2 linked regions of the Coturnix japonica genome follow. The protein of the gene in region 1 binds, or shares a complex with, the protein of each later gene. Links are inferred from orthologs where the notes say so. Each region holds a gene or a part of one and is shown on either strand. Other genes may lie near its edges.

What was found.
Region 2: the proteins of MYO3B (region 1) and ESPN are in contact, whole or in part, in a crystal structure (PDB 5ET1), measured with the Mus musculus proteins. The link is inferred for Coturnix japonica from reciprocal best matches to the Homo sapiens genes MYO3B and ESPN. Residues at the interface, in XP_017174528.1 of Mus musculus: Arg1223, Arg1224, Gln1226, Gln1227, Pro1228, Lys1229, Met1230, Leu1231, Ser1232, Ser1233, Asp1236, Thr1237, Met1238, Tyr1239, Tyr1240, Asn1241, Gln1242, Leu1243; in NP_997570.1 of Mus musculus: Leu35, Ala37, His41, Arg45, Ala67, Asn69, Ala71, His75, Asp76, Ala79, Thr80, Asp101, Ser103, Leu110, Arg113, Phe114, Thr135, Thr137, Ala139, His143, Tyr144, Ala147, Thr169, Asn171, Tyr177, Leu178, Gln181, Ala203, Asp205, Met207.

Annotation. Positions count from the first base shown.
Region 1 is NC_029522.1:16,467,723-16,471,528, forward strand, and holds part of MYO3B (myosin-IIIb), read left to right. Parts: coding exon 1-74; intron 75-888; coding exon 889-993; intron 994-1,113; coding exon 1,114-1,197; intron 1,198-1,886; coding exon 1,887-2,089; intron 2,090-2,471; coding exon 2,472-2,570; intron 2,571-3,155; coding exon 3,156-3,270; intron 3,271-3,651; coding exon 3,652-3,778; intron 3,779-3,806.
Region 2 is NC_029536.1:489,087-493,522, reverse strand, and holds the start of ESPN (espin), read left to right. Parts: upstream 1-1,409; coding exon 1,410-1,703; intron 1,704-2,819; coding exon 2,820-3,013; intron 3,014-4,436. Other genes in the region: HES2 (transcription factor HES-2), read right to left, coding at 1-91, 195-841, 1,363-1,411. UniProt on the Homo sapiens protein: Multifunctional actin-bundling protein. Plays a major role in regulating the organization, dimension, dynamics and signaling capacities of the actin filament-rich microvilli in the mechanosensory and chemosensory cells.

The sequences.
Region 1 (3,806 bases):
AAATTTATACATATGTTGGAGATATTTTGATAGCCTTAAACCCTTTCCAGAATCTCAGCATTTACTCTCCACAGGTAAGATAGACTTGAAGGTGTGTACAGTACTTGCTTTATATTTTGTATTAGTGCTACTGGCTAAAATACTCACATGATGGGAGTGCAGTTTAAACCTCAGTCTTTTATTCTTCCAAAAAACTGTGTCTACAAATTGTTTTCTATTTTTACTTTCACTTTAGTCTAGTTTGATTTAATTGCTTTCTGCTTGGTGACACAAATTCCACAGAAGTGCTAAGATTGCCCCAGCCACAGCTGTTCCTCTTGTCTGGCATTTAGGGCTTTCTTCTGGGAAACAGAAGATAGTTATACGATCTGCCTCACGCTGAGTTTGTTGCTTTCTAAACAATTGCTCTGACTGGTTCTTACATGTCCTGTGCCATCAGTTGTGGCTTAAAAAAAAAAAAAAAAAAAAAAAAGTGAATTCAATGGTGTAAAAATAGAGACAACTTAATTCTCTATGAATATGAAGAGTGGTGGAGCCATAAATCTTAGTCTCCTTGGGTATCTAACTCGGGGCTGCAGGCAGAGGAACCAGATTCCAGCTTCACTTTTTTCTTTGCAGTTTCTTTGGTAAAATTTTCCTGCCTAAACGGTTTGGAATTCTGTTATTGTGATACAGGTCTTCTCACCATGCTGTAAAAGAAATACTGAAAAGCATTTCAAAATTGCCAGTGCCAAGAATTACCACTCTTCAGTCAGAATTTTGCAATAGAACAGACAAATACCTACCATGTGGGTTAGCAGGCAGAAGATACTCACTATTCTTCTTTTCAGATCTTAACTGTAGAGTTCACTTCTGTATTTTTACTGTTGTGTTTTTTTCTTAATCCAGTTCTCCAAGCTTTACCATGGTATGAAGCGCTCATCCAATCCCCCTCACATATTTGCCTCTGCAGATGCTGCCTACCAAAGTATGGTGACGTTCAGCAAAGATCAGGTAAAACTATTAATTTTGTTTTAGATTTCACATTAATCATAGTGCCACTTTGCTACAGATGTAGCTTATGTTCTGTTATGTTGTTGAACTGTACACTTACTGCTTTGTTTGTATGTTCAGTGCATTATCATCAGTGGGGAAAGTGGCGCTGGAAAGACAGAAAGTGCCCATTTGATCGTCCAGCATTTGACCTTCTTGGGAAAGGTATTTCTAGCAATAATGTAAAACAATGAATTCTCCCCACTCCCTAGCACTTCTCCTTTATTAAATGTTTAATATTAAAAATTGTTCTTGTTAATTAATCCACTTGAGGCAGGGGAAGAGTATTTATAAGCACTGAATCATTGCCATTAGAGTATTACCTGCACCAAGCTATTTCAGTGTAGGACAAAGTGACAAATTCCAAATGATCAGTGCCTGTAGTTATCTGCAGTGTTAATAATCTATAACATTGTTAATCTGTACAATAAAATATAACAGGTCTTGCTTTGGCTCTGATCTTGGAAGCTCTTATGTTTTTAAATGTTAATGAGTAACGCTACTACTACAAAATAGTGTGAAAATCATGTGTGTAAGTTTAACAAATATATGTATTAGTATGATTGTTGTCTTAGGTAATATTCTTTTTTTTCAGGTGGCTTAGTTGCCTTAATTAAATTATATGAAGCTTTAGAGATAAAACAATTGCAAAGAAGGAAAAATATGATTTTCCTTACCTGTAGGTGATTTTCCCTTCAGCGTATGGCCTTACTGTATAGATGGGAAGGTTAATGGAGTATCTAACTCTGTAAGAATGAGATAATGGGATACTATACTTCTTAAGCAGAAATTGGATTGTGAGTAGGCAATATATTCTTATAATGGTCATTCTGATTTATATTTGTTCTGTCAAGGCCAATAACCGTGCTTTGCGTGAGAAAATTCTTCAGGTGAATCCTCTGGTTGAAGCATTTGGGAATGCCTGCACTGCCATCAATGACAACTCAAGTCGCTTTGGAAAATATCTGGAAATGATGTTTACACCCACAGGAGCTGTAATGGGTGCAAAGATTTCTGAGTATCTACTTGAAAAGTCAAGGGTTATAAAACAGGCTGTGTACGTTCACTAATCATCTGTCCTTTCTCATTTTTGTAATGTTATTTACTGTTTAATTCTCTAAAAACTCTTATTTAAGTGCTTCCAATAGTGTGTCCTGCTGAAGCAATAATCCTTTGTACAGTAACATTAATGACAAGAATAGTTTGGTTCTTTTGGAACAAAAGCCAGATCTATTCTATTTTCTTTTGAGAAATAATGTGGTTATCTGGATTTTCTGTTTTACAGCTGAAATAGTTATCTTTGGTCTTCCACTATTATTGGCCCTGATCATTTGCTCCATGTCTCAATGAGATTGTGATAAAGACTTTTCCTTTTACCTTGTACAAGATACTGCAAGTATAAACACATGTGCTTTACAGACGTGCTTTGTTGTTTCTAGGGGAGAGAAAAATTTCCATATATTTTATTATATTTATGCTGGCCTTTATCATCAGAAGAAACTTTCTGAATATAGGCTTCCTGAAAAAAAGCCTCCTAGGTAACTATCAGTCACATGTTTTAACCACTGATTCTAATTATCTATTGATCAGCTCTTGCTTTCAGCACGATGTCTTTGAAGACAGACTTGAGTCTGTCATAATCCTTCTGTATCCCTTAAGGAAATAATAAATAAATAAATGGTGGACAATAATGAATTACAGTATTTACATTAAAACCTGGAACCATTTAAGGAGAAAGAAGAAATATTCTCATTACTATATATGTATTTTGTCATACATTCAGATCAAGACAGTCACTCTGTGCTCCAAATATGTTTTTAAGTTGTGCTTTTAGTTGGTATTTGTACCTAGAGAGGAACTGATCTATATGATTCTACATTGGGTGAGAGCACGTAGGTAAAATGTTAGTAACACTATGAACAGATTATTAACAAAGAATTAGCAAAAGTGACTGCAACAGAAACAAAAATGTCTTAAATATTTAATTTTTTAAAAAATTCAAAATTTAAATTTAAATTATTTTAATAATAAACATTTCATTTTGTTTCTCTGGATGTAGTTACATTATAGTCACTGTTGGTTGTACTTATCACCTACTTAGTGCTTTCTTTCACTCTGTTTAGATACATTGATAATGAAACTGGAAGAGTAATGCATGACATTGTTACTAAGGATTCCTATGGAAGACAATTTGAAGCAATTCAGCATTGCTTTAGAATTATAGGATTCACTGATGAGGTAAGATATCCAGTTGCTAAACCATTACTGACCTTACAGAAAACAGCCTCCAGTGCTGCTTGTGCTTAGGCTGCCACTTGGCTGCATGAATACACAGCATGCCGCAGAATCTCTTATAACAGAAATGAATTATGAAAGTAAAACCACACACATGGAAGCCAGGACCAGTCAGAGGTCTCAGTTTGTAGTTAGGCAAGTCCATTTACATTTCTATAGGATCCTTTTTCTGTGTAAATAGGATTTTCCTTTAATTAGAACTTGGTCTTAGGACAATCTACAAACTTTTATCACCATCTGATGCTCACCTTTTTCTTTCATAAACTAAGTTTGATGTACATATTTAATTGGATTCCTTGAGAGTGCTTTTTGTCATTTTTACAGGAAGTGTACTCAGTGTACAGAATTCTGACTGGTATCTTAAATACTGGAAACATTGAGTTTGCTGCCATTTCTTCACAGCACCAAACAGATAAAAGTGAAGTTCCAAACCCAGAAGCCTTAGATAATGGTAACTACATTTTAACATGATCAACTCT
Region 2 (4,436 bases), on another chromosome or scaffold:
CTGGTGCCGAGGGAGCAGCTGGAACCTCCGTCAGGAACCGCACGGTCATCTCCAGGATGTCCGCCTTCTCCAGCTTGAAGCAGCGGGAGCTCTATGAGGGGCGGTGGTGGGCAACGGGCACCGGGAAGGGGGGATGGACGGGGCGGGCTGAGGGAAGGCAGGGACGGGACGCAGGGCCGGGCCGCGGCACTCACAGCCTTGCAGACGAGCGGCAGGATGAGCGTTTTGAGCTGGTTGAGGCTCTCGTCGATGCGGACACGGCGGCGTTTCTCCAGGAGGGACTTGAGGAGAAGAGGCCGTGGGGGCGGCCCGGCATCACGGAGCTGGTTCTCGTGCAGACCGGAGCTCACCTTGCGCAGCTCGGCGGGGACATCGCGCTCCGGAACCGCCAACGCCTTTATGAGCCGCCGGGCCGCCCCGCCTCCGGGCCCCGTGCGGAAAGGAGAGCGGGGTGGTGGGGCAGGGACGGGCGGGTGGGCAGGTAAGGGGGCAGGGCGTGCAGGTAGGGGGGCAGGGCGTGCAGGTAGGGGGGCCGGCAGGGCAGAGGGGCGGGCGGAGGGTGGCCCGGCCCCGCCGCTGTCCGCCGTGCTGCCGCCGCCGCCGCTGTCCGCGGTGCTGACGGAGCGGGGCCGGGCGGGGCGGGGGGTCTCGGCCCTTTCCCGGTGAGCGCCGTCGGTCCCACCGGCTCCCGCCCCCGCTGCCGTTGCTGGGAGAAAGGAGCGCTGCAGAACGAGTGGGGACCGCCGGGAGCGGGGGCACAGCGGGGTCCTCACCCTGCGGACACCCCACGCCCCCCCCCGGGCAGTGACGGGCAGGTCCCGGTCCCGTTGACGCCTCTTTCCTTCAGCAGAAGCGCGGACCCGGACTCGTGACTCCCGTTACGCGCACTGAAAATCTGAAAGCAACTTTCTGGTCCCGAGGGCTTCAAACCGGGGCTGAAACGCACCTGCCGCAGGTGCTGCACCAAAGGCTGCTGAGGGGCACGGCGGCCGTTCCCGGTTCCCGCAGGCCGCCCGAATCCCGCAGCACCCCGCACAGAAGCGCGGAGCCCCGCAGCCCCGCTCAGGGCACTCGGAGCAGTTCAGCCTGTGCCATGTGTCTCCGTGGGTCTCATCCCAGGATGCCGCGAAGTCTCAGGGGTACCGGCGGCCCCCGAGCCCCGAGCGAGGCGGCTCTGCGCCAAGGGAACGGGCACGGGGCGGCGGGTGGTTCGCCGTACCCCGACGGCCGGGCTCCCGTAGGGGCAACGCGGCGCGGGGCGGCGTGGGCGGGGGTGGGGGGGCGGCGGGGCGGGCCGGACCCGGGGGAGGAGGAGGAGCCGGTGGGGCCGGGCCGAGGCTCCGCGGGAGCGCCGCGCAGTGCCAAGCGGCGGCCGGACGGCCCGGCGCGGCCGGTCCGGGGCCGGGGCCATGGCGCTGGAACGGGCGCTGCAGGCGGCGCGGCAGGGAGACGTGGAGGCGCTGCGGGGGCTGCGGGCGGCGGGGCTGCTCCGGCCGGGGCTGCGGGACGCGCTCGGAGCCTCTCCCGCTCATCACGCCGCCCGCGCCGGCCGCCTCGCCTGTCTCCGGTACCTGGCGGCCGAGGCCGCCCTCCGCGGCGACGCGCGGGCTCGCAACGGGGCCACGCCGGCCCACGACGCCGCCGCCACCGGCAACCTCGCCTGTCTCCAGTGGCTGCTCACGCAGGGGGGCTGCGGCGTGCAGGTGCGAGCGGCCGCGGGCCGGGGAGGGGGCGCGGGGCTCGACGGGGCGGGCTCGGAGGGAGCGCGGGACGGGCGGCGGGGCCGGGGGGGCGGGACGGCTGCCCCCGCCCCTGCGGCACCTCCGGCCCCGGGGAGGATCCCGGCGGGGCACCGGAGAGCCCGGAGGCGTTTCGACGCGGCCCGGAGACCGCCACGGTTCGCTGCGAAGCTCGGGCCAGAGCGGAGCCGCCCGCTCAGCTACCGCGGTCCCCAGCGGGGCAGAAGCCCGTGCCGAGGGGCAGCGGGGGTCCCCTGAGCCGCGGGGCAGAGCGGAGATCGGCGCCCCGAAGGGCGATCGCGGAGCCGGGGCTCCACAGTCGGGGTCCGGCGGGGGAAGCAGCGTTTCGGCCGCGTGGGTCCGCGTGAAGGGTCTGTCCACGGCGTCAAGGTCACGCACAGATTCTGCCGGGAGCGGACAGACACGCGCGGCCTCCGCGCTGCTCGACGGAGAACGGCCCGGACCCGTGCGGGGGTGGGAGCTGAGCTGCCTGAATGGCGCTCGGGACCGCAGATCCGCCACACGCGGGACGAAGCCACGCAGGCCCGCGAGGAGGGGACGGAGGCTGGGGTGGGTGTCCGGGCGCTGTGACCCGGGGGCACCGGCACCTTGTCGGGCTTATACAACCAGAGCGAGCCCCGGGGCAGATAAGCAGCTTGCCCCGGGCTGGCTGAGAGGGAACAACATGTGACGTGGAGGAGGAGGAGGGGTGGCAGAGGTGATTAAGCAGGAAGGAAGGACGGGTTCCGCACGGTTCGGCGCAGTCCTGGCCCGAGGCCAGCTCAGCTTCGTGCCCCGCGGAGCGAAGGGAGCAGCGGGGCCGGGGCAGCGCTGACCCCGCGGCAGAACAAGCGGGGCTTTGTGCGGCGCCGGGCTGGTAAAACGCTGCTGGGGCCCACGGGAACCTGGCACGTTTATGGCACCGCGATCCTCTGCCGTCCTTCCAGGCCCATCCTCTCGTACCCGCGGGGCTGCCCGTACCTCCACTCCTCCAGCTCGGCCCCCCGCCCCACGCGCTCTCCCTCGCTGGAGGTGCAGAACTGTCCCGGGTCCCAATGGCGTCTCCCCTCCCTCCCGCAGGACGCAGACAACTCCGGTGCCACTATCCTACATCTCGCAGCCCGATTCGGTCACCACGAGGTGATCGAGTGGCTCCTCCGCTTCGGAGGCAGCGACCCCACGGCAGCCACAGACACGGGAGCGCTGCCGGTCCACTACGCTGCGGCCAAAGGGGATTTCGCTTCCCTGCGACTTCTCTTAGGACACTGCCCAAGGTAACGGCCCCTGCTGCCCTCGGGGGGCTCGGGGCAGAGTCCAGAGCTCGGCAGTGCGGGGAGGATTCAAGCTTTGGGGGAGCGGGGCGCCCGCTGCCACCTCCCCCCACCTCGGCTGCTGGGCAGGGGCCAGCGCTGAGGGCCGGCCGCATCCATTCCCTGCTGCACAGCTCCAAGGGCAACGCGGCAGCGTTATCACCTGGGCGCACAGCTGCGCTTTATCACCCGCAGATTAAGAGCGAGGAGAAGCGCAACGAGCGCTGACAGAAATATTGCCCACGGAGCCGGGTTTGTTCCCAGCGCTCGTGGCACGGGGCGATAACACAGCCGCCTTTGTCCACCTCCATTATGTAAATGGATTTGGCTGCCCGAGGAGGAGAGGCGACCTTTCCCGCTGCCTCCAGGAGCGCAGGGCCGGACCCCACGGCTGCGCATCGCCACGGCCCCGCACGGTGCCCTCACCCCCCGGTGCAGCCCTTCCCGTGTGCCTGGGATGCAGCGCGGCACCCCGTGCTGAGCCGCCCCGGGCTCGCGATGCGATTACACGGCGCTAATCTCATTTCCCACGGTGGGCAGAGGGTCTATAAATAACAGGGGCCCTGGCTGGGGGGGCACAGGGACGTGCCTCCCTGCCACACCACGCTGGGCAGGCTCAGGGACACGAGAGACCTGCTCGAGCTGCCCCAGCTCCACTCTCACCTTCCCCATGTGCCCACAGAGCCCCCAGCAGCACTTCCCCACCTGCAGGCAGCTCCCCAAGTAAGGCTGCGCTGCCCTTTGTCTCCTGCACCATTGGGGGCACCTGTGCTGCCCCGTGCCCAGATAAGTTAACCCTTCCCACCCCAGGCCCTGTTCCCTCACAGCCCTGTGTCGTCTCCTGCAGAGCTCCCTTGGCAGCAACCCTTTCACACTGAGTTTCACGTTCCTGTTGGGGTTAATCTGCTGCCAGCTGCCTTCCCCTGCCGAGGTGGCCCCTGAATTATTTACTGCTCGCCCTGTGCCTCGGAGGAGGCTTTGTTACAGCTGTGAAATTCAATCCTGGGGTGCCGTGGGATCTGCACGTACATCGGGTGGGTGCGTGCCGGGCTCTGCAGCACCACTGGGGGGGGTTTGGGGTGTTCCCAGCACTGCCATGGGCAGCTTGTGACTCCCATCCTACTGCAGCTTGGCCACCCGCAGGTCCCCAGCAGCTGGTCCCAAAGCAGGCAGCAGCGCGGGGTCGTGGCCATCTGGCACAGCACTCCCTGGCTGCCAGCCGGCACTCACCAGAGTGGATTAACCTGCCCTGATAACAGGGAAATGGCAATTAAAGGTTGGGCACGTACCAAGTGCACCCACACCACATGGCTACAACCCTCCCCAGGGGCTCTGCCGACCCCCCAGGACTGTCCCCAGTGGGACAGAGCCCTGCAGCACGGCACAG